3 linked regions of the Drosophila melanogaster genome follow. The protein of the gene in region 1 interacts with the protein of each later gene in a pairwise test. Each region holds a gene or a part of one and is shown in the gene's direction. Other genes may lie near its edges.

The links. The genes of interacting proteins can lie anywhere in the genome.
Region 2: the proteins of CG13838 (region 1) and CG17107 interact in a two-hybrid assay, tested with the Drosophila melanogaster proteins (one large-scale study listed by BioGRID).
Region 3: the proteins of CG13838 (region 1) and ND-75 interact in a two-hybrid assay, tested with the Drosophila melanogaster proteins (one large-scale study listed by BioGRID).

What each region holds. Positions count from the first base shown.
Region 1 is NT_033777.3:23,038,198-23,045,396, forward strand, and holds CG13838 (uncharacterized protein), read left to right. Parts: upstream 1-4,043; 5' UTR 4,044-4,135; coding exon 4,136-4,411; 3' UTR 4,412-4,472; downstream 4,473-7,199. Other genes in the region: CG13837 (uncharacterized protein), read left to right, coding at 5,793-6,464; CG17121 (uncharacterized protein), read right to left, coding at 6,620-6,707, 6,776-6,901, 6,960-7,137.
Region 2 is NT_033779.5:10,678,693-10,685,847, forward strand, and holds CG17107 (uncharacterized protein), read left to right. Parts: upstream 1-3,273; 5' UTR 3,274-3,298; coding exon 3,299-3,589; 3' UTR 3,590-3,836; downstream 3,837-7,155. Other genes in the region: CG17104 (uncharacterized protein), read left to right, coding at 1-113, 212-663; CG17105 (uncharacterized protein), read left to right, coding at 2,355-2,666; CG7299 (uncharacterized protein), read right to left, coding at 5,147-5,680.
Region 3 is NC_004354.4:8,245,332-8,254,714, reverse strand, and holds ND-75 (NADH dehydrogenase (ubiquinone) 75 kDa subunit), read left to right. Parts: upstream 1-3,027; 5' UTR 3,028-3,118; intron 3,119-3,263; exon of another isoform or gene 3,264-3,326; 5' UTR 3,327-3,331; coding exon 3,332-3,514; intron 3,515-3,585; coding exon 3,586-3,917; intron 3,918-3,985; coding exon 3,986-5,012; intron 5,013-5,072; coding exon 5,073-5,561; intron 5,562-5,620; coding exon 5,621-5,785; 3' UTR 5,786-6,064; downstream 6,065-9,383. Other genes in the region: CG1632 (uncharacterized protein), read right to left, coding at 1,259-1,291; Trxr1 (thioredoxin reductase 1), read right to left, coding at 7,021-7,907, 7,979-8,205, 8,276-8,621. UniProt on the Drosophila melanogaster protein: Core subunit of the mitochondrial membrane respiratory chain NADH dehydrogenase (Complex I) that is believed to belong to the minimal assembly required for catalysis. Complex I functions in the transfer of electrons from NADH to the respiratory chain.

The sequences.
Region 1 (7,199 bases):
AGCAAGTGCAGGACATAATGAGACACGGATAACAGGCCATTTCGATTATTATCCTTGGAACATGTGTTCCAGTTTAGTACAGCAACGCAACAAGTGCACCGCGGGCCGTAAAGTAAATAAATTAGCCGGTCGTGTAATGCACAAGAATCCGTAGGATCGAAAACATTCTGCAACATGACACTCGGCCAGGATTCGAGGAGCTACCGCATCAGGATGCTGCTTCGGATGTGTTTGTTTAGGTGCAAGGATAACGCATTCTCACGCCTGCCGGGAGCAGCCAAGCAACATGGATGCCTTCTAACCCAAATCCACTTGAACCCACACTGACAGTCGAATGTCATAATTCAGCGGCGGGAAAAATGCGCGGCAGGTTGCCAGGATAATCAAGTTGCAGCTCCCGCTGCCGCTGTTTGTTTAGCTGAGGTTTTCATTTTCCCCATTTTTATTTTCCATTCATTTTTTTTTTTTTATAGCTCCCGAAGATTTTATTGCCGCCCGGGATGGGATAATCCCTATTGACATATTTATGCACGGTTCAAGCAACGAAATGGAAATTTTTGGCGTCGCATGGCTCGCTGGCATTTGCCTTTCGCCTTTCACGGGGGCGTGGCAACGAGCTAATGGGCACCACATGTAAGTGTCTCTAGGTGAATGAATTAATGTCCCGCCTCCAGAAATGCTCGGAGTTTCACACAGAAAAAATGGATGTTATGAAACTAAAAGGGTATCTAGAAGCACAAAACTCACTTTCTATGTGGGATTGTTGTAGTTAGTACTTCGAGTACTTTGAATTTTCTTCCGTGCAGCAGCATTTCCCCTAGTCTAAGTTCGAGTTCAAGGTGCAGCACATGGCTGTCGAGCTGTGTGGGAATTATCTAAGGAAAATACGTTACGGCGGGCGGCCAAAACACCTGTGTCAATGCCGGCAGATCGGGCGTTGCGCTGCTTAATTCTTGTAATTAATTTTGCGTGCCACAGACAGAGACAGAAGCAGACTCGCACACAGAGATAAACACACAGACGGCGGAATGGTGGAATAGGGACAATGGAGGATGTCCTGATGCACGGCATTAACTGAGCATGCAAACGATGCGTCAACGATGGTACTCGGCCCAGGCAGCTAACGCTATTATTTACACAACAAACACTTGTAATTACACAAAGGGCGGCGGCGGTGGCAGGAGGGTCCTGCAGGAGCAGGACGGAGCCGCAATTAAAAGCGAAAGGATAAACACAAATAAATGAGCGACACAAAAGGGGCAGACACGGCAAAGACAACTCGGCTGTAGCTGACTTGGCCCACTGCCACTGCCAGTACTGGCTTCCACTACTGTTCGGGCCAAGACAAAGGCAACACTCTGGGCCCAAAGACAACAATGACAAGCGGACGGCATTAAATAATTGCTCATACACGAGTGTTACGCACAAAAGCATTTAGAATGGCACTGGCCGAGGCACAGGAAGTGAAACAGGACGAGCCGAGCAAAAAACTGTCCAGCACGTGTTGCAGCTCGTCTCGGAAAACCCAACCATGTAATCCCAGCCAAGCCCATTCCAAACCATCCCAATCCGATGCGATTCCAAGCGCCTGCCGCCACCTTTTCGGCTTCGGTGTGTGAAAACTAGTTAACAGCTTTTATTTACTTGGCAAACAGACTGAAACGTTGTAAAACAACAAATGCTTAAGCCGCAGGATATAAGCATAACAGCACTCACCAGCACACACGTCCTTCCACTGCGGAAAAAAAAGAAGGGATTATTATGATGAATTGCATGCACGTCAAGATTTGTGCTTAAGAAAATATTGAGCTAAGATGCAATCTTGAGGATTTACACTTTGAAATGGGTATTCCTAATTATGTTATGTTATATATATCATGTAGACAGATGGTTAGACCAAGTAAGGCACCATTCCAGTTTGTTCCAGTTTGTTTTCTTCAATAATTTTTTGAATCTTCCCTAATAGTTTCTTGCCGTGTATGCCACTCGGGGCACGAACACGACCAGCTTGGTCAAAAAGTCCACGTTGTCCGCTGTGGTCAGCGGCATGGAGAATGGAGACGACGCTGATGGAGGCGAGCGTGCAACTGACTGCGGCGCTCGGACATCTCATAACCAAAGTGAAAAGTTGGAAAACAATAACGGGCAGCGATGCGGGGCACACATGTCCTGCCTGAGCAATCGCCTCCAAAGCAGTGTCCTTCGGCCAGGATGGCCACAACCAGTGCCGGCAGCCAGGGAAGAGGCTACACAGCGTGACAAAGTTTATGGACCACAATGGAGCTGCAGCTCACTTAGTATTCTCCGCTCGGATATAAGCTCGGTAAGGACATTCAACGTGGCACAACGACCAGGACTACTACCACACACATAAATTATATGCCTTTATTTGGGCAAAACAGTGTAAAACGCAAATGCAACCTGATGACAACAACAGGCTGCGTTATGCAGCAACAACAGAACCAGAAGAAGCCGGACCCAAAGACGTGGCAACAATGAGACTTTTCGGCAAACAAACGAGGCAAACTAAGAGCGCTTTTCAACTAATGACGACGAGCAGTAACAAAAACGTTTTCAAACTGGGCGGCGGCAACAAGTTGAGCCGTTTAGATTTAGAGCTTGTAAAGTGTGTGCGGAAAATTCAATAACCAAGTGATAACAACCTCAAGAACAGATCCAAGTTAACCCGCTGGAAGACCAGGAAAATCCACACAACCACTCGAGCTGAAGGATATCGGCAGGGTAAATGCACAAATGCATATGCATACATAGATGTATGTGTATGCGTATGTAGGCAGGCCGGAGAGATGACAACAAAAGCCAGCTTAATGGCAATAATAACAGATTTTAGCCAACCACAAAGAAAACGTCAACAGAGGCATACTTTTTGGCCACCATGCTGGCAGCAGCAGCAGCAGCAGTTCGGTTAATGGCAGGAAGTTCACTTCACAGCCAGGACGACACATCCTTGCAGCAGTCACTTTGAATGAAAATTCATTAAGTGAAAATGCCTAAGCCAGCAGATGAAACAGAAAGGAGCAGCAGTCCATCCTCTTAATAGCCGAAAAAAAAGACCGCATCGTTGGACAAGCAACCACATCCATCAGCCGGCCGATTGGCTCAATTTGCATGCAATTAAAAATAAATTGAGGCACCTTGTTCTGCGGCTAAACTAAATAGTGGCACCGCATTCGGTGGAGCCCACTTCCAATTTTCAGTACCAAACTGGTGCGGGGGTGGGGGGGAACGCGACCACCGCAGTATGGGGCCAAAAAAATTGATTTCAACTTCGGTTGCCGCCGCGTATTTATAGGCTGAATTGTCATTTTCTCCTCTTTTCTGGTTGCTGCATTTTTTTTATTATTTACTTCAACCCAATCCTGAATGCTAACAAAGAGTTCTCGAAAGGAGAGCGTAAAACAAACAAATCACGGACCGATATGCACACATAAAAATTCATAAATATTCTATTTTGAGTTGACATTTTGACAAGTGAATATGAATATTGCAGTCGCAGCGCACAAATTTATAATTGATATGTATAAATAATGGACAAAGCCATTTTGTAAATGGGTTTAATGAAATGAACGAGTGTAGCTCTTGTAATAGCTCGCCAATTACAAACAAAGCAAAACAAACAATAGTCGAAAAAGAAGAGTGGACTTTCTGGTGCCCTGGGCGCAAATATTTTTCAAAACATTTAATTTATTGTATTTGAAAAGTTGTAACGATTTTTCAAAAATATCCTCCTAAAATGGCAAGCAATTTACTTTCATTTTTTTAAGCAATAGACTTTAATAAACGTTTGATGAAAAAAAAAAATCATCAAGTTCACCCATTTAATATACCCCTTAAATCTCAATTTACAGGTGCCATCGCTTAAATAAAATATACTTAATATTTCACATTTGGCGTTAAAAGCAAAAGTACCCAAAAGCCAGTTAGCTGCAATTACAATTAAATTAAATTGGTTTATGGTAAGCAACTTTAATTATGTTCGATAGCAAAACAAACCAAGTCAAATTTGCTTTACACTTCGGATCGCATGGCACAAAATAACACCGAAAATCATGATTTAGGGTGAAAAAAATTTAAATTTAAATCGAAAGTTGTTTTCCCAGCCCTTAAAGCCCAGATGGACAGCGCCGATGAGCAGCTGCAGCTGGATCTGGACAGGATATCGATGGAGAGTCGCCAGGCCAGCAGTTTCGATGACCTCATCGAGCTGACCAACAACTCGGAGCGTCTGATGGCCAGAGTCAATTCCAGCTTGGATGACCTAAACACCGCCCTCGACAACCTGGAGGCTCGAACGGACCGGGTTCTGGTCGAGATTCGGAGGCTAATCAGCTCGGAAATGCCGGCACAAGGTCCGCACGATGGATGTGGCGATCCAGATGCCAGGGCGTAGGCGGGCGAATGGCTGTGATACGTAATGTGATAATAAATAAATGTATTTTATTTTCATATCGAAATCAATTGATGCTCAACTGCTCATAGGAATTGAAAAGTGATTGGTCGTAGCTCTTCTTCGGTTTCGAATCGAATGGGGATCGAAAACTTCGCGGGGGCATTGAGGCCATAGAGGCAGAAGATCCATAAAACGCCCGACAGTTTGTTTGTTTTTTATGAGAACTGTAACCCTAGCACACAAATAATTAGTGAGCTATTTTTATGGATCTTCGGATGCGGGGCTGCGCATGCGCAATGCGCATTGAGCAGAAGTATCAAGGTGCTGGGGGTCTTCATCCACAATCTTAATTAGAATTTACATACATTTTCAATATGCGTGTGTGTGTGTGTGTGTGTGTGTTTTGTATTTGTGCACATGTTGCACTGCATTTGAAGATCTCGTCGTGCACTTAATCACTTGAGCCGTCGGCACCATATGGGGTCCTTTCTTTTACTTCTTGTTGTCTGTGCCCCGCGGCATCTGGTGCATGGTATATGTAGTAGACTGAGCGGTATAACCTGTTAATCAGATATGCAGATTGACCCAAAAATTATGCCACAAAGCAGCTGCTGGGCGACAGCGTTTAATTGACAATTAATAAAACTTTTAATTTGAGCCCAATTGGCACATTGCACATTATGGTAATGGTAATGGTAGTGGGGTAGCATGGTAGTTGGTCAATTGGATAATGCCCACAGATCCCAGCCATTTGCACTGGTAATTCTTCATTAATCGGCTACGCAATCATTTACGTAAAGCGCAGAGCCACCAAACCTAATTGCAAGTTATGAATATCTCATCGGATATTAAATCGATGGCCATCGCTTAACTCCGACCAGCAACGACCACGATGACGATGGAAATAATAATGAGGATGACTGCGATGAATGGATTGAATGGCCTGAATGGTATCGTTCGACGACCATCCATCCGTCCGTTTATCCGTCCATTTGTCCGCTTGTCCGTCCGTTTGTCCGCTTGTCCGTACGGAAGTGGCGACACTTAATTGCGAATTGAGTGCATTTTCAATTTTTATTGAACCGGCGCCCAGTCGAGCATTATGCTGCGGTGTGGTATCATTAAATACTCGGTTGCTTTGCTGCTGCTGCGAAGTATGCTACGAAAATGCAAATTACCGAGACCGCCCAGAGTGGGCGTGGCAGTTACTGCCATGTGCTCATTAGCGGTATCTACCAGACGATAACCAGCGTAGTAATCGATGGAATAACTTGTCTTCTTTATCAGTTGGAGCACATGCAAAAATATACTCAACCCATCATCGATGAAGTCAGTCTACAGAAGTCATCCCGCTATTTCGGTCGTTAAAAAAATAAATGAAATGGGAGCTGTAACCTTCTTAACAATTATTTTGGTGACCTTGCTGGGTCATCGATCCAGTGCCCTGGAGTTCGAAGAGTGTGCCAGTGCTCCACAATTGGGAGTTTATGTCGCCAGCTCTAGCAATTGCTCCAAATACATATATTGTGCCGGTCCAGGATCCTTTGAGGCCGAGTGCTTGGATGGTCATTACTACGACGAAAAATTGGAACGCTGTTTGGATCGAAAGTTGGTGTCGAGATGCCGGGATCCCGTAGGCATAACCACTAAATCCCCCTCGATGGTCAAGAAGCCAGCTCAGAAAGCGGAACCATTGGCGATTACCCTGCGACTTTTACCCAATGCCGGACCATGTTATCCTTATATGGTCTGCTACGAGGGGGCTGGACTGGCCAAGGCCTGTACTCCTGCTCATCTAGTGTCCTGCAATCGCATGCAAACGCGAGAGAATATCATCAACTGCCAGGAGGGAGTCTATGGCTTTATGCCACATCCACGGAACTGCGCCTACTTCTACTACTGCTCCAGTGGCTCCAAGCTGGTCCATCGATGCCACTTGAACTACACTTGGCACTACGAACGGAGGTCCTGCGTCCAGCAGTCCGAGAGGATGTGCTACTCCGAACAACTTCGGCTTATACGAAATAAAATAGGAAAGGCCAACCGGACGTAATTCTAATGTTAGGATATAGATTTAATTTAAGTTAAAGATTCGTATAAATAGCTAAACATGTACACCTAGCGTAAGCAACAGTTGAATAAAGAACTGCAATTGGGAAACAAACAGGAGTAAATGCTTCTGGGTGGGGATGTGCCTTCTCCTGTGCCCTACTTCCAGTAAAACAGGTGGGAGCTGCGCACATCGAAGTGGTAGAAGCGAAGCAGCATGTAATCCTGCCACTTGGTGGGCAACAGTCTAAAGCAAGGCGACAACAATAATCGTTAGAAATAATCGCTGGTTACCTGGGCTAATTCAATTCTCACCTGAGCAGCCATACACTGAGTGCGAATATTTTTGGCACATACACCATGCGCTCGTTCAGCAACACGCCCTTGACAATCTTCTCGGCCACATATGGTGTGGGCAGTCCGGGATAGCTCTTGGCAATGCTAAATGTAGTAGCCGCATGAGACCAAGTGATCTGCCCAAACTATAAACCAATCTTACCCCGCATCACTGAGCAGTGGAAGATCTCCGCTGGTCCTCATCAGATAGGCATTGGCCACCGTGGTGCGAACGTAGTCACAGTCGGACAATCGCAGCTCAGCTCGCAGCGATTCCATGAAGCCCTCGATTCCGTATTTGGTGGCCGTGTAGATGCCCGCTCCTGGCAGTGGAACTAGACCTAAATGCGAGTTATATATACATAGGTATCAATGAAGTGGTAAGCACTTTAACCAAGTAAGC
Region 2 (7,155 bases), on another chromosome or scaffold:
CGTTAGCAATGCAGCTCCTATCGTCACTGAACCACAACCGGAATCAACTACGGTGGTGCCCACAGTAAAGGAAGAGGCAGCCACCACTGAGGGTGCCATTGAGGAAACTACAGGTGTGTCTTTAATCTAAAAATATATTTGTGACTTATTTATTTACGAAACCCATTTCCTTGCCAACAATATGTTAACTAAATACATATTTTTTTCACAGAACTGCCACTAGTTTTGTCCTCTGCATTTAAACCCACCAGTGAGGCTGAGGAGACCACTGAAACAGCTCCAAGCACCTCCACTTCAACCACCGAGACTGTTCTGATCACCACCAAGGTGGGAACATTGGAGAACTTCCAGCCAGAGACCACCACGAGTGCTTTGGACACAACATCCACTACGAGCACCACTGAAGCTCCAACTACGACGAGCACCACAAGCAGCACTGAAGATCCAACTACAACGAGCACCACTGAGGCTCCAACTACGACGAGCACCACTGAAGCTCCAACTACGACAAGTACCACCAGCACCACCAGTGCTCCAACCACAACCACCACCACAGAACGCCCCATTCAGACGCGAGCTCCGCGTGTGGAGCGAATCTTCAACTCCGACGGAGTGGAGGTGCTCTACGGATACTCGTCTGTGGTGCGGACCAACCGCTCGTGAGTGGTCAGCACCACACGACCTTGTCAAGGTCGGACAACTTGCCATTATGTGGAGATTGATGCTCGGGTTGTTTTAGGCAATTTTCAATTCTAAACGAGTTATAAACAAAAATATTTAAATTTTATGCGACGATCCGCACAGTGTGATAAACCAAAAAAAAAAAAGAAAAACAAATAACGATGCGTAAGAAGATATCGATGGAAATACAAATCCGCACAGACATTAAACAAAACAAAAATAATATTGTGCAAAATTTGTGAACGGTCTGCCAAATGACAAAAATGAGGAGAAATGCGTGAGATAAGCGATTTTATAAATTATAAATAAAACATGAACACCCATCTTTCGTTTTGTGTTTGTTTTGGCGATTGCACAAAGCGTTAGTAGGTATTTTAAACATTGTTGATCCGAAAATCGATCTTCAAATGGGACATAATATTGCCGCAACGAAACGTGATTGGCTGAGGTGATCCAAAAGATACCCTCTAATAGTAGCAGAGGGAAAGATAATTTAAATCATGTTTATGTAGGGTCTATTCCTAAAATTGAATATTCAATATAGAGTTTTTAATATAGAGCATTCAATGTAGAGTATTCAATATAGTATAGACTTCTTTCAAATCTAATTCACTGAATATGAATCATTTTGTATATTGTTCGAGCAGCGCACCCAAGAAATCAAGTCAAACACAAGCTCAGACATTCAGCAGCCCACAAGCTGATCGCTGCCCACCTGCAAAAAAAAAAATAAAAAACAGAAAAAGAAAAACCGGCAATCTCCTCAAGAGTTGTCGTCATACATTTTTGGGCTTTATGTTCCGGCATGGACGCAGTTAGTCCGATGGACAGACACGTGGACCAGTCAAGCTGACTGGTTTGGTGTGGTCAGGTCTGCAGGCTTGGGTCGCCTGGCAGATTATTCATTCATCGATCGGCTTGTGAAAATCCATGAATCCATGAAGAAGCACAGGGCTTTTTTGGGGGTTTTGCAATGAGTATCACGTTTGCTATGCCTCACCCTCGATGGAATTTGAAAGCAATCGGCTATAAAACAAACACCAAGCGCTAATTTCCATTTGAACTTGAGCGGCAGTCGCTAAACTGCATGTTGAATATGGTTCGAATGAATGCGGATCGAAGGTTTTGGCGATACGGGTTTTTTTTTTTTTGGCCACTTAACTGGCCTTTATTTACTAAGCCAACTGACTTAGTAAGCTCTAGGTCGTGGGATGTACCGATATCAGGCAGTTAGTCATAAGCTTAACGGGATGAAGAAAAATATATATATTAAGATGGTAACCACAATTGCAGAAATGAAATTAATAGATTAGTTATTTCTATCATAACATTGAAGTAATTTCTCTATCTCTCCATTTTCCTTGCTTATGAATAAATTTATCCTGGACATTTAATGACCCAAATTACTACAGTAGATTGATTTGTAAAACAAAAAGATTCGCAAATATTTCTCACTGTATGCTTGCTACAGTAAGCTCTGGCTATAAAAGCTTCATTCGCAGAAAATAAAAACAACTTCTGTTACAGCCGAAAACTATGCCACTTATATATTTAAGCTCTAGTTAACCATTGTTAACAAGTTAAGTAGACTTATTTTTGCTTTCTTTGTTTCATTATGGAAATTAAGTTGTCATACGAAAAAAAAAAAACACAGGATAGTGGGACATCCCACGATGAAATTATATGCACTCTGCGCTATCCTGCTCCTTGCCATTGTGGCAGTCCAAGGATATCCTGGTATACACGGTGGCTTTGGACACGGAGGACACGGTGGACTCAGTGGCTTGGGAGGACTTGGCGGCTTAGGAGGACGCGTTGGTTTCGGAGGACCCGGTGGCTATGGAGGACCCGGTGGCTACGGAGGACTCGGTGGCTACGGCGGACCCGGTAGCTACGGCGGTGGTGGTGGAGGCGCAGTAGCCACTGCCAACGCTAATGCAAACGCAAACTCAGTTGGTTACAGTCCGGGTGCTTACTACGGATAAGGAATGATGATAACAGCAGTCCAGAAACGGCAATTGCTTTAAAAAATAAACAAATGCATAATTATTGCATAAAGACTAAGACATTTTTCTATTATTACTTTTGCCAAACGTTATCAACACAATGGCCTTACCTTCTATGTATAATATACTATAAATATAAATTTATTAATTTTTAATTATTATTTATTAAGTGAAGAATATATATATAATTTTCGGGTTCAAAAGTTGTAATCACCGGAAAAGGAATTTTGTATAAAATGTGTAAACAGAAGCAAATCTAAGGACTTACATGATAAACTAGTTTTTATAGCTGATTATCATAATGAATTTATCTGAGCTTTTTTACAGCCTGAAAATATACTTTACCAAAACATGGCTTGCCAAAGCTAACCAGTTTTCAATTATTGATAACATAGTATATAAGCATATACTATACATATAGGTAATATTAAACGTCATGCGTTTTTAATATATGTCTAATTAATGTGCTAATCGAAGCCCCCATATATATGCCGATACAATATCGATTCTGTGATTTTTTTTGTTTTTCAGATAAACAAGTCGTCCACCTGTCACGGATGCTGGTATAAAAGAGGCCAGCACGCGATCACAAAACATCGCAATCTCTAACGATGAAGTTCCTGGCTATCTGCATTTTTCTAATCTTCGCCCTGGTGGCCGTTCAGGCACATCCTGGTGGATTCGGCGGATTCGGTGGAGGCGGTGGTGGCGGTGGTCGCGGTGGAGGCGGTGGAGGCGGTGGAGTCGGTGGAGTCGGCGGTTCGAACGCAGTTGCCAACGCGAATGCCGCTGCAACCGCCGACAGCAGAGGAGGCGGCCCAGCTTCCGCCTCGGCCTCGGCCACTGCAACCGCCAACGCCAGCTCCGGAGGAGGTGGAGGTGGACATGGCAGACATGGATAGGCTCGAAACGGATTCATAACTGTACTCTCGAAAAGTGGGCACGTCCGCTGACAGACCTACTAAACTGAAACCAATACCAATACCAATAAATATTAAAATGCTAATTCTGTTTTTGGAAATCCAAGATGTTGTTTTCGTATATTAGGTTAATAACCAGTTTATGAGTCGGGCATTATTTATAGATCTAATGACGTCAAACAAGATTTCTCTAGCCTCCTAAAAACAGACTAAGTTAACAGCGGGAGCTAATATTAGAAACTATGTTTTAAAATGTATCTAACAACTTGAATTACAACTGAAAAGTATGCATTATATATATATAGTTTTTGCAAATAGTTAGTGCATCTCAATTTTAATTTAATTTATTTTTATATTTAAAATCATTAAGCTCATTTCATTCATCATTTGTTTGTACAGCTTACCCGGAAATCCAAACAATTTGTGAGTTTTTTTTTTTTGTGTGATTACTTTTTTTATGTAATTAAGTAATTGCATTTGCCACCCACAACAAGTCTTGAATTTGGCCACTTACGGAGTGACACACTCAATTTCAGCAGGTCTAATAAATCGAAGATATTTTTTCACAAATGAAGTCCGACGTCTCTTGATATATTGTCAAGCTTCTTAAAACTCGGGTTTGCAATATTTAAATTTGCAAATTATCAACATCTGGATAAGTTTCTACGTTTACGGTAGCCAAACCTTTCCGAAATAAAACTAGTTTTATACCCCTTAATCGTACAGTAATAGGGTATGCTAGGCTTATTAGAATGTATGAAACAGATAGAAGGAGCATTTTCAATCTATATTGCATTCAGATTTTAGGGACGTTGCACTTTTGAAAAATGCTTTTGATATTTTTTTGTTTAATTACCATTTTTTCCTATCTATTGATGTGCCAAATGAACTAGTTGAGTAACGGGTATCAGATAGTCGAGGAACTCGGCTATAGCGTTTTTTCTAGTTTTTAATTCTAGCTAAATTATCTACATATTATTATCATAGTTAATTTTTGCACTAATCAAAGCACACAGTCTGCATATCAATGATGTTTTCGAAATGTCTGTTCTTTTCTGTTGCTCTAGAAAGTGGAACACACATTATAATTATAATTTGTAAATCTAAAGAGTAAAATATTTTTCTTTGTTTATTCCAAAAAGACTACAAACATTTTTACAAAATACGCTTTCAATGTATGAATTGTAATTTTATCAGCCTAGAACAATTTTGCGACTGAATCATTTCATTTATATTTTCATAATAGAAATGCATAAATTCGAAATAAAATATTATCAAAATATTCTTGACAAAGCATTCCCCTGGAAAAAAAAATGTAATTGGATGTGTGCAAAAATGCACATGTTCTTTTTATGCACATTCAATTTAGTGGATCTATACTTAAAAAGGATTCTGTGTTAGTTTTCCTTGTTTGCATGGACCTCATTACTGTGATGACATGCCTTTCAAGAATTACAAATGTTCATAGTTTTGTGTTTTTTATTTTTATTTTTATAAATATTAAAAATCTACTCAGTGAATAAATTCGGATCTGTTGGCTTATTTGCGGAATGCGTTGGCGACGGCATTGGCGTTAGCATTAGCACTGCCACCTCGGGTGTTGGCATTGGCATTGGCGTTTGCATTGGCATTACCACCGCCAAATCCTCCGTCAGAGTTGGCGACAGCATTGGCATTGGCGTTAGCTTCGGAGTTACCACCGAATCCTCCTGGTCCTCCTGGTCCTCCGAATCCTCCTGGTCCTCCGAATCCACCCTGTCCTCCGAATCCACCCTGTCCTCCGAATCCACCCTGTCCGCCGAATCCACCTTGTCCTTCAAAGCCACCTGGTCCTCCGAATCCACCTTGTCCTGGCCCTCCGAATCCACCCTGTCCTCCGAATCCAGGGCCTCGTTCCCCGAATCCTCCTCCGAATCCGCCTTCCTTCTGGAAACCAGGTCCGCTGAATCCTGGTCTTCCACCGCCCTCACTCTCAGCATTTGCGTTGGCATTTGCGTTAGCATTGCCATTATTAAACTGCGGGGCGGCACTGGACACGGCCAGGATTACGGCGAGAACGACAAAGACCTTCATGGTGATCTGCTTGATCGGAGTGACTGAACAAACTTAATGGCCAATGCCCCAGGGCCTGGTTTTTATAGTGGCCAGACGGCAGGCAGACGCAAACAAACAAAAAAAAATAAAAAAAAAAAACAATAATCTAATCTAGCCTCCGCTTTCGGATAAAAATTAGCATGCAAACAATAGTCACTGCCGAAAAATAATTTCAATATTATCGGAGATCACAGATAGATTCCCCCGATCTGGACAGCGCTCCAGAGTGGGACGGATAGCGAGTGAAAGAGTCAGATAGTGCTCTGATCGAATGCAATGGTTTAAGGAAAGTTTGCAAATGTCTTTAGACCAACACGAGCCGTGTTCGTGGTGGTTTACTAAGGAACCGGTTTGATGATATCAATATTTAAACGATTATTGATATTTGTGTTTATATTTCATTAAGCCAGTATATTTCTTACTTTCGGCACTATCATCGCATCGCTTTCAGACGGAAACGACATAGAAGCAGTTAATTGTCAGGGAATTCTCTTTATTAGCTATTAGCTATTAACACTAGAATGTGTTATATGTTTGTTTTTTTTTTTTTTATCAGCATAGATATAGAAGCAAAGTGGTTCCTGAAATCTAAATCTACCTTAATATAGAAGCGTTATTACATGATCATTGTGAAAAGAACCGTTTCAGAATCCTTAGCGGTATTAGTCCAATGATAATCAAATTGGAATCAACAAATTTGGCAAGCTTAAAAACATTACCCTAATATATTTAAATATTTTCGGTCGCTTACTACCAATATATTCTTACAAAGTCGCACATGTGGTTTTAATTAACACTTTTCTATGAGTTTCCTTGTTCTGCTATAAATCCAAAATTATTCCATATTTGGAAGCAAACCCACATCTGGTTCTTATCAATATTTTTGTAATTTACCGGCAACCGTTCAAGCCCCTATAAAATTTACATATTTTTTAGCGATGAATATATGTATGTTTGTATTCAACTTCATTTACGCGAAATAAAAATGATAATTTAAACTGCGGACGTGCGGATAGTCGAGTCAGATCTAACAAGAAAGGAAGCTCAGCCGAAGCTTATATACCCTTCTACTACGTGTATTTATTTGTTTATCTATATAAATTTAAATATGTACATATATATTTAAAAAATACGGATGCTTACCGAGTTACAACATTGAAACTATGATTTCTTTTTTATTATTTTCGAATAATTTTCCAAGGCAGTTGTGGTCGTTCGATTTTTACTAAGCAAAATACAAAGTTATTGTACTCAAATACGAATTTACACCGAATAAGAGTGTTTTTTATGATCAAGCGAAAAATTGTTTGCCGATCCGGTTCGTTCCGAGTTATATGCTACCCTATATTAGAAAAAAGCTTTTGGGGAAGATTCATGCAGATAGCTTCAAACCTAAGGGGCTCATTTGCATAAAAACAAACAGAATGATCAAGAATTTAAACATGTATATACTT
Region 3 (9,383 bases), on another chromosome or scaffold:
CAGTGGGCCAAAATGCAAGCAAAGCGGTCAAATAAGTCTATGATTCAATAGAAATATACAAAATATTCAAGTGCAATTTTTATAAATTACTATATTAAATACATTTTAAGCTACCATTACATTTTGCTTAAAATTAACTCATTTTCGAACTTAAGCTGCTGCTTTACCTGTTATTAGAAGTGAATGCACAATGAAGTGGGTGAGTATTGTAACATTTTATTGCTGTGTAATATGAATGATCATACAACTGATTACTCTAATGAGCGGAATAGTAAGTGTGCGATCGCAAGAGGGCGTTAACACGAGTGGCCACTGTACATGCGCGGACGACTACTGTGGATGCGATCCCGTTGCAGATTGGAAATCGTTAGCAGGTTACCGATATCGCCGTCTAGTAGTGCAGCATTATTGCATAATGCCAATCCGCAGCACGACAAAAAACATATAAAAAAAAAACCAAACAGCCAAACAACGCGACGCTTTTACTTTTGTTTCATTAATTATGGCAGCTCAACGATTTCCAATTATGACAGCGATTGGAAAGCCGTTTAAGCCGAGTGACCAAAAATAAGCCAACGAAAACCAAAAAAACCGAAATGACCAAATAACCAGCGAGTGTTGTTGCCCTTTCAAGAATCCCCACAGATAATCGCAGCCCCATCGGATTTTTTTGGAATTTCGAAAGGCATTTCCAAAGGCATGGCAATGGGTAATGCTATGGTAAATGGCCTCCAGGAATCCGCGGATATATTTCACTATTGTCTGGGAAATGGCCAAAACAATGCACTTGATTTTGGCCCCTGGGCGCAGGGAGAGGCTTAGGTCCTTTTGCTTTTGCCACTCAATATCTATGTATCTGCGAGATACTAGATTTTCTATCTAAAAAACTATCTAAGGCATTGGCAAGTTACGAACTGAGATCAGCATGGCTTTCCAAACTTTTCTAGTAAAAGTAAATCAAATTGAAATGGTAGTTTATGTGCATTTGGAATCCAGAAAACTGTGCTAGTTTCTTAATTCTTAATTAGACATATAACAGCGTTCGCAGATTTAATTAATCATACCCAGGCCATGCAGAATTTTACTGCCATATTGGCCAGTCGCGAAGAAAGAGAAGTTCCAAGTTCGCCTCATAATCCAATTAAGAACCGGAGAAATGTGTACTTTCAGACCTCTGATTAAGTTTAACTACTGGCCGCTGGAATTAGCCGCATTTCCTGACAGCGGCCACGCGTAATTGATTTGAACTAGAACTCACCTGGCTGTTGCTGCAGTAGTATATGTCCGACATCCTGGTTCTGGGCTCCGATCTCGATCTGGCTCCCGCTATGGATACGGATCTCGAGCTGTCCTGCGCCTGCTCCGCTATCGCGGATTCGCGCCACTCGCAAAACCTTTCAGCGTTTCCCCGCTTGCTTTCGTTATGGAAGGCGAAACAAAGTGGACAGCATGCCCACCAAATTAGCCAGGCGGTGATCCAGGTAAACTGGCGAGCAGGTGAAGCAGCCCTAGGTGCTGGCCAAAACGACTATAATGGCTGGCTATGATGGCAACCTGTTTTGCTGCGCCGCGGAAAAGTGTCACACAGCCCCGCTTGGCTTGCAATCGATATGGCCAGTTGACGTCGCCAGTTGTTGCGATCTTTGTTTTTCCTCAGCTGCTTTTTTGTTATGTTTTTTTTTGTTTCGTTTTTTTTGGCGGATTAGGTTTTCCGCATATTTATCCGCATTTAGGCAGAGGCACACAATACAAACAAAACAAAATACAAAATAAATACATATGTGTATATATAATATTTATATATATTAAATGCAAACAATGCCGCACTTCACGCTCCGTCTTGCAGAACACACGACCGCCGCTTTTGCCGCTTTTGCCGCTTTCCATATGCGCATGCGCGCACCTTTCTTTCTTTCGAATATATCGCCAAGTGATGCACTCCGTATGCTGGAAATGCGCGATTTGGGGGAATTTTTGGGATCTGAGTGCCGATGCGATGAGAAAAGATGCACGACCGTCTCGAGCGGAGCTAAAACGCTAACTAACTTGGCCCAAACGGGGCGACTTCTTCGGCGGCCGCAACGAAAGTTGTCGCAACCAGTTTTCAGTCTTCTGATGCCTAATATTTGCCCACTCTACACGCGCCGAAGAAATGAAACAGATGATGTGTAGAATAATATTTGGAGTAATTGTTTCAAAAGAGTATGAGTTCTAAATCGCTTAGTTTATTTAAGATTGGAAGTCTTAATTTTCAGCGTTTGGCATGCTTAATATTATATGTGTTATTTGCAGTATTGTTACATACAAATCATTAAATCATTTCAATTCTGTTCTCTGTTTACAACTGATAAGTGTTATCTTATGCAAAAAATTAAACCAAATTTCTCTCTGTGTAACGAGAATAACGCTGCACTTTTAAGCCGGTAATTTATGCGATGATTAATTCGTATGAAGCGGAAAAGATCCTGGCCAGATATACATAAGTACGCACATACGTTTGTATGAGTGTTAGCTGATAAGAGAACTGAAAATAAAACAAAACATTTAATTTTACGTGGTAAAAACTTCAAAAAAAACTTCTATCAAAACTGTCAAATATTTAACAACAAATCATTTAAAGTCAAGAACAAAAATAAAATATTTACAATACAGTTCTGAACTTAAATAAAATAAGTGAACTATATTTAATTTGAAGTAATAAGTTTTAAAAATTCGTTTAATTTTGAGAGCGCGAATAAATTAGTTGAGTGGCTCCATCTGTGATTTGAGATTTGAAGCTTGATACTGAGTTCGCTCACAAGTGAATGGCCAAACAAATTGAACAGCTGTTCACTAGCGTTGCCAACTACAGTAACACTTGAACTTGAAGGTGGTAATCGAAGCAGGTAACAATATCAAATATATACTTTTTGAATAGAAAACTAATTTCGGAGATTTATAAATTGGTGTCGCACATAAATTTATATTTAAGGAATAAATTTAAAAACCGATAAACTATTGCGATTGACCAGCTGTCAACGCGGCAGTTGGCAACGCGGTCGGTCTGTCAAAGCAAAATCCGATAAAAAAAAAGTTGTCTCCACATTAAAAGATCACAGGAATATTTTCCAGCATTTCGGTAGGTCTTCGCCCACTTTTGGCATCCTCCAGGATCCCCATTCAGGTGGCAAATGGCGGTGCAGTGGAGGAGCTGACTCCGAAAACGCACACGAATCGCGAACAATCGATATGCGGGAGTGTTGTGCCAACCAGCGTACCAAAACACTTATGTAATTTTTATTGGCTCCTCCGATTGCAACGGATTTTTGGTTACCATCTCGTTGCAGAAAATATGATACGGGCACCGCTAGTCAAGGCGCTGGGCGCTCTGGGCTCGCCCACACATCAGATGGCCAGCCGGGCGGTGCGAACCAGCGCCATGGTGGCCCAGACACCGGCGAAAGCGCCCGAGAAGATCGAGGTCTTTGTGGATGACATTCCCGTGCAGGTGGTACCCGGCACCACTGTCCTCCAGGTTGGTTTCCAGTCCCTCGTTCGCGGGAAGTGCCTTCTAAACCCATATCCCCTATGCCCTGCAAATCCTAGGCTGCTGCTCAGATCGGCGTGGAGATACCCAGATTCTGCTACCACGAACGTCTTGCGGTGGCCGGCAACTGCAGGATGTGCCTCGTCGAGGTGGAGAAGAGTCCCAAGCCAGTGGCCGCCTGCGCTATGCCCGTGATGAAGGGCTGGCGCATCAAGACCAACTCGGATTTGACCCGCAAGGCGCGCGAGGGCGTCATGGAGTTCCTGCTGATGAACCATCCGCTGGATTGCCCCATCTGCGATCAGGGCGGCGAGTGCGATCTGCAGGATCAGGCCATGGCCTTCGGTTCCGATCGATCCCGCTTCACGGACATTAACTACACGGGCAAGCGGTAAGGAGAATAATCCATAAAGTTCCTTTTCCATAACCTGAACTGAATTCTACCTAATGCGTTAACAGCGCTGTCGAGGACAAGGACATCGGACCGCTAGTCAAGACCATCATGACACGCTGCATCCACTGCACCCGCTGTGTGCGTTTCGCCTCCGAGATTGCCGGCGTTGATGACCTGGGCACCACTGGCCGTGGCAACGACATGCAGATCGGCACCTACGTGGAGAAGCTCTTCCTTACCGAACTGTCCGGCAACGTGATCGACCTGTGCCCCGTGGGAGCGCTGACCAACAAGCCCTACAGTTTTGTGGCCCGTCCCTGGGAGATCCGTAAGGTGAGCAGCATCGATGTGCTGGACGCCGTCGGCAGCAACATTGTCGTCAGCACCCGCACCAATGAGGTGCTGCGCATCCTGCCCCGTGAGAACGAGGACGTCAACGAGGAATGGCTTGCTGACAAATCGCGCTTCGCCTGCGACGGTCTGAAGCGCCAGCGCCTGGTGGCTCCCATGGTGCGCATGCCCAACGGCGAACTACAGGCCGTAGAGTGGGAGGGTGCCCTCATCGCCGTGGCCAAGGCCATTAAGGCAGCCGGTGGACAGATTGCCGGTATTTCTGGCCAACTTGCCGACCTGGAGGCTCAGGTGGCCCTGAAGGATCTGCTGAACCGTCTGGGCAGCGAAGTGGTCGCCACTGAACAAGGATTTATTGCCGGAGGCACCGACAACCGTGCTAATTACCTCTTGAACAGCACCATTGCCGGTTTGGAGGAGGCCGACGCCGTTCTCCTGGTGGGCACCAATCCCCGTTACGAGGCTCCATTGGTCAACACCCGTTTGCGCAAGGCCTATGTGCACAACGAACTGCAGATTGCCTCGATTGGACCCAAGATCGATCTGTCCTACGACCACGAGAACCTTGGCGCCGATGCCGCTTTAGTCAAGGACGTGTGCTCCGGAGCTCATGCCTTCTCCAAGGTCTTGGAGGGTGCCAAGAAGCCGGCCATCATTATTGGAGCCGATTTGTTGGAGCGTGCCGATGGTGCCGCCATTCACGCCACCGTTGCCGAGTACTGCAAGAAGCTGAAGAAGCCGGTAAGTTTGTCATCCCTTTGCTCACATGAATTCCTGCTTAATCTCATGCTTCGCTTACAGAACTGGAACCCCTTCAATGTGCTGCAGACCAACGCCGCCCAGGTGGGCGCCCTCGATGTGGGCTACAAGGCCGGTGCACAGACCGCTGTGAAGGCTCAGCCCAAGGTGCTGTTCCTGTTGAACGCCGACGCTGGCAAGGTGACTCGCGAGCAGCTGCCCAAGGACTGCTTCGTGGTGTACATTGGATCGCATGGTGACAACGGCGCCTCCATTGCCGATGCCGTTCTGCCTGGTGCCGCCTACACAGAGAAGCAGGGCATCTACGTGAACACGGAGGGCAGGCCGCAGCAGACGCTGCCTGGTGTTTCGCCACCGGGTATGGCTCGCGAGGACTGGAAGATCCTGCGCGCTCTGTCCGAGGTGGTGGGCAAGCCGCTGCCGTACGACAACCTGGACGAGCTGCGCAACCGTCTGGAGGATGTGGCGCCACATCTAACGCGCCTGGGCCAATTGGAGCCAGCCGGCGATGCCGGAGCAGCGGGCACTATTGTAAGTTGAAATTATGCTCCATTGAAAGTTGTAATTTATTACTGTTTGTTTGTTTGCAGAGCAAATCCATCGGCGGTGGCGCCATCGATATTAAGCTAAAGGAGCTGCGCGACTACTTCATGACCGACGCCATTTCGCGCGCCTCGCCCACCATGGCCAAGTGCATATCGGCGGTCAACAAGCAGCAGCGGGAGAACGAGGCCAAGCAGAGTGTGGCTATCTAGGCGCCCACTCTCGCGTCTGATCTAAACTAATAACTAATTAATGTTTTTTTTTAAACTCTGCCCTTCGTCCTTTCGCGCCGCACTCGCCCACTAATTAACGGACACAAAGACACCAGGACGAGCCGCGGGAAGAGCCAGCGCAGTAGCGGGATGAGGAGCACGATCGGCGGCTGCAGAGGCGCCAGCGCTGCGTCAGTTGTAAATGAAAAAGTCTTACGTTGTTCAAAACAAAGGAGTTATTCAATACGAAAAATAGGAAAACCAAAATAAAAATGTAATAGAAAAAATATCACAACAGCGACTTATCAATGGGTTGGGTTTCACTATGGGTATATTGGGCTATTCCAAGTCGCTTGGTTCATAGTATAGCCATCTCGCTTTGTTTCGTGGCATCCAATCGGAGATACCACCTCGAAAGTGTTCCATACATACATATATGATTAATGCTAATTCCTTATAGAAGCTATTGAATTCTCTTTGCTGTTCATTAATTGATTGCATCAATTTACTGTCTTAATTTGATTTTGATTTGCTTGCGAGGATTCCTTAGGTCATAAACTTCAACCTTTTCGTAGCTTCTATTACACTTTATCACGCACTGTTTTTCCTTTGAAAACTAAAGTATAATTTATTACCCACTGATATATGTATCTCCAGGGTGCCATCGTTCGTAGCTGATTTATAGCCCTCGAGGGCAAAGATTCCCCTAGCAATGGCATTAGCAATTAGTCGGGTGGCTAACAAGTTGTCAGGCTGGCAGACAGAATCGATTTAGCCAGGTCAAGTCAAGCCATTTGCATGGCTAATGAACTTACTTGATTGAAAAGGCAGAGGAAGGGCTAAAGGTCGAGGTATGTTTTAAAGGAAATGCACAGAACTGAAACACAGAGGGGTTTGTTGGTGAAAAATTATATTCTTCAACCGTACATTTAGGGGATTTCATAGTTAATTTCATAGGTTCAAACAAATTCAAAATTTTGAGTGCATGTCGGCGGCGCAGCAGTCGTGGGTTGGGCTGGTCGCGCGGGTAGTTCCACTGGTGTCGTTCCACCCGCCATCGCTGCCCAGTGCCCCTCCCTTGCGCAGAGCTATTGTGTTGGGTGTTAATTGTGGAAACGAAACGGAACTATTGAACTCATCGATCGCTGGGCCGCGACAACAACCATTCATCTACGGGATTTCGGGTGGAGCAAGCGGCTTCGACACGTCCCAGGCGGCTGAGCTGCGTTCCCGCTTTAGCTGCAGCAGCTGGCCGGCGTGGGGTCCAGTCCGGAGCGCTTGGTGATGGCCAGCCGGGTGAATTCTTCGGCGGTAGTGGGATGGATGCCCACGGTGTTGATCAGCGTGTTAATAGTCAGGCCAGACTTCAAAGCGGCAGCGAATCCCTGGATAACCTCACCGGCCACCGGGCCAATATAGTGCAGTCCATAGACGCGCTGGTCACCATGGCGCTCGGCCACAGCCTTCAAGTAGCAGTAGCGCACGCTCTTCTGGGGAATGAAGAACTCCGTGGGCTTGTAGTAGCCGTGGAACACCTCGATCTCATCGGCTCCGAACTGCTTGACGGCATCCTCCTCGCTCAGGCCGACGCAGGCGTACTCCAGGGGCGTGAAAACGGTGGTGGCCACATCCTTGTAGTCCATGCGCTGGGTAGATCCTCCGTACAGGCGGCGGGCCAGCAAACGGCCAGCCAAAACGGCGACGGGCGTCAGCTCTGGCTTGCCATAGATGATATCGCCGACAGCGTAGATGTTTGCCACATTGGTAGCCTCCTGGGAGTCCACTGGAATCTTGTCCTTCTGCACAGTCACGCCGGCATTGGGCAGGTTCAGATCGTCCACCAGACCCTTGCGGCCGATGGCCCACAGAACGGTGTCGTAAACATCCTCGGCCTCCTCGCCGGTCTCCACGTTCTTGTACTTCACGAGCAGCTTGCCATCATCCTGCTTTTCCACGGACAGCGGCACCGTCTTGCGGAGGAAGGGAATGCCACGCTCCTCCATCGAGGCTGCCACCAGCTCGGCCATCTGCTGGTCGAAGCCACGCAGCACAATAGAACGCACCATCACAGTGGGCTCGTAGCCGAGACCCTTCAGGAATCCAGCGCACTCCAAGCCAATGTCTGAGTGAAAGAGCAGAAACCGAATGGGTTATTCATCAATTTGATGTAAGCAAATGAAAGTAGCTACTTACAGCCAGCTCCCACCACCAGGGTCTTGCCGGGCTCGCGGTCCAAACTGAACAGATCATCGCTGGTGATGCCATACTCGACAGCACCGGGAATATCCGGATAACGTGGTCGGCCGCCAACGGCAATGACGAAGGTCTGGGCGGTGATTGTGCGCTCGCCGCTCTTCAGCTTGGCCAGCAGTGTGTGCGAGTCCACGAAGGAGCCCAGTCCATTGATGTACTCCACTTTCCTGAGCGCAAATAGAAGGGTATAATTAGTGGGGATGCTCGAGCGGAAGCCATAGATATAGTCACACTTACTTGTCGCGCAGATCCACACGGGTCACCCAGTTGACGGACTTGATGTGGTTCTGTACGGACTGCACCAGCTTGTGCCAGTCTGGCTTGATCTTTTCGTCCACGTTCCAGCCGTAGGCGGCCGCCTCATGGACAGCCTCGCCCAGAAGGGAGGCCTGGTGCATCAGCTTCTTGGGAATGCAGCCCACGTTCACGCAGGTGCCGCCAACGCCCCACTTGGTGCCCAGAGTGGGCGTGGGCTTAACGAAATCCAGACAGGCCACACGGGCTCCATTGAGGACTGCCTCCTTGGCGCAGGCCAGGCCAGCTGAGCCGCCTCCAATCACAATAAGGTCGTAGTCGTAGGATCCTGCAGGAGAAAAAAGGTTTTCGTTTGATTCATCGCCTTTTGTCTATAGAAATATGTAATCTACTGCCAAAATTGGGCTTAAAGAGGTCAAGAGGTCACAGAACATGAGGAGCCGTCAGGAAATCTAATCGTAGCACAGCCAATTCACCTTGTATTATTAAAAACTTATCACCGTTAGTAACATCAATAGCCATGTTGTATTGGCATGGTCTGTTTTTGTTCTTAACCAGTATCTAGATTAGTTGAAAATCCTTATCAGTGATAGGTAATGATATCAATTAGCCATGTGGTGCCAACTACTCAAGTTTCTCTTTAGCTTCACTCATGATTATGGCTAATCCCCGCCTGCCTTTGGTGGACTCCTCGCGCAGTCGTATGTCCAGATAGGCGGATCGGTAGATGCTCCTCCGGTGGCGTGGTTCACCCTCGACCAACTGGGAAGCCGGTATGAATTCGAACAGATGCATCCAGACCAAAGAAGTGCGGAACGAAGACTGTTTGGCCTCCTGCAATCCGTAATCTGCACCGTGCAATCCCGTCGAGCTCCTTGGCTTCAGTTGCCAGGTAGCGATAGTGCTGCCGAATGCCACACATGCCACTGGGTCAGTGGGAGTTCGAATCAAAGTGGAGCAATCATCTAGCGACATCGCCACACACCAAGCCACGCCCATCCCAGCCCGGCCACGCCTTTCTTCCGTCCGTCCACCTACGCCCCCCCATTCGGTTTGCTTTGACCCGCCGGACTTTGTCATGGTTACGCCC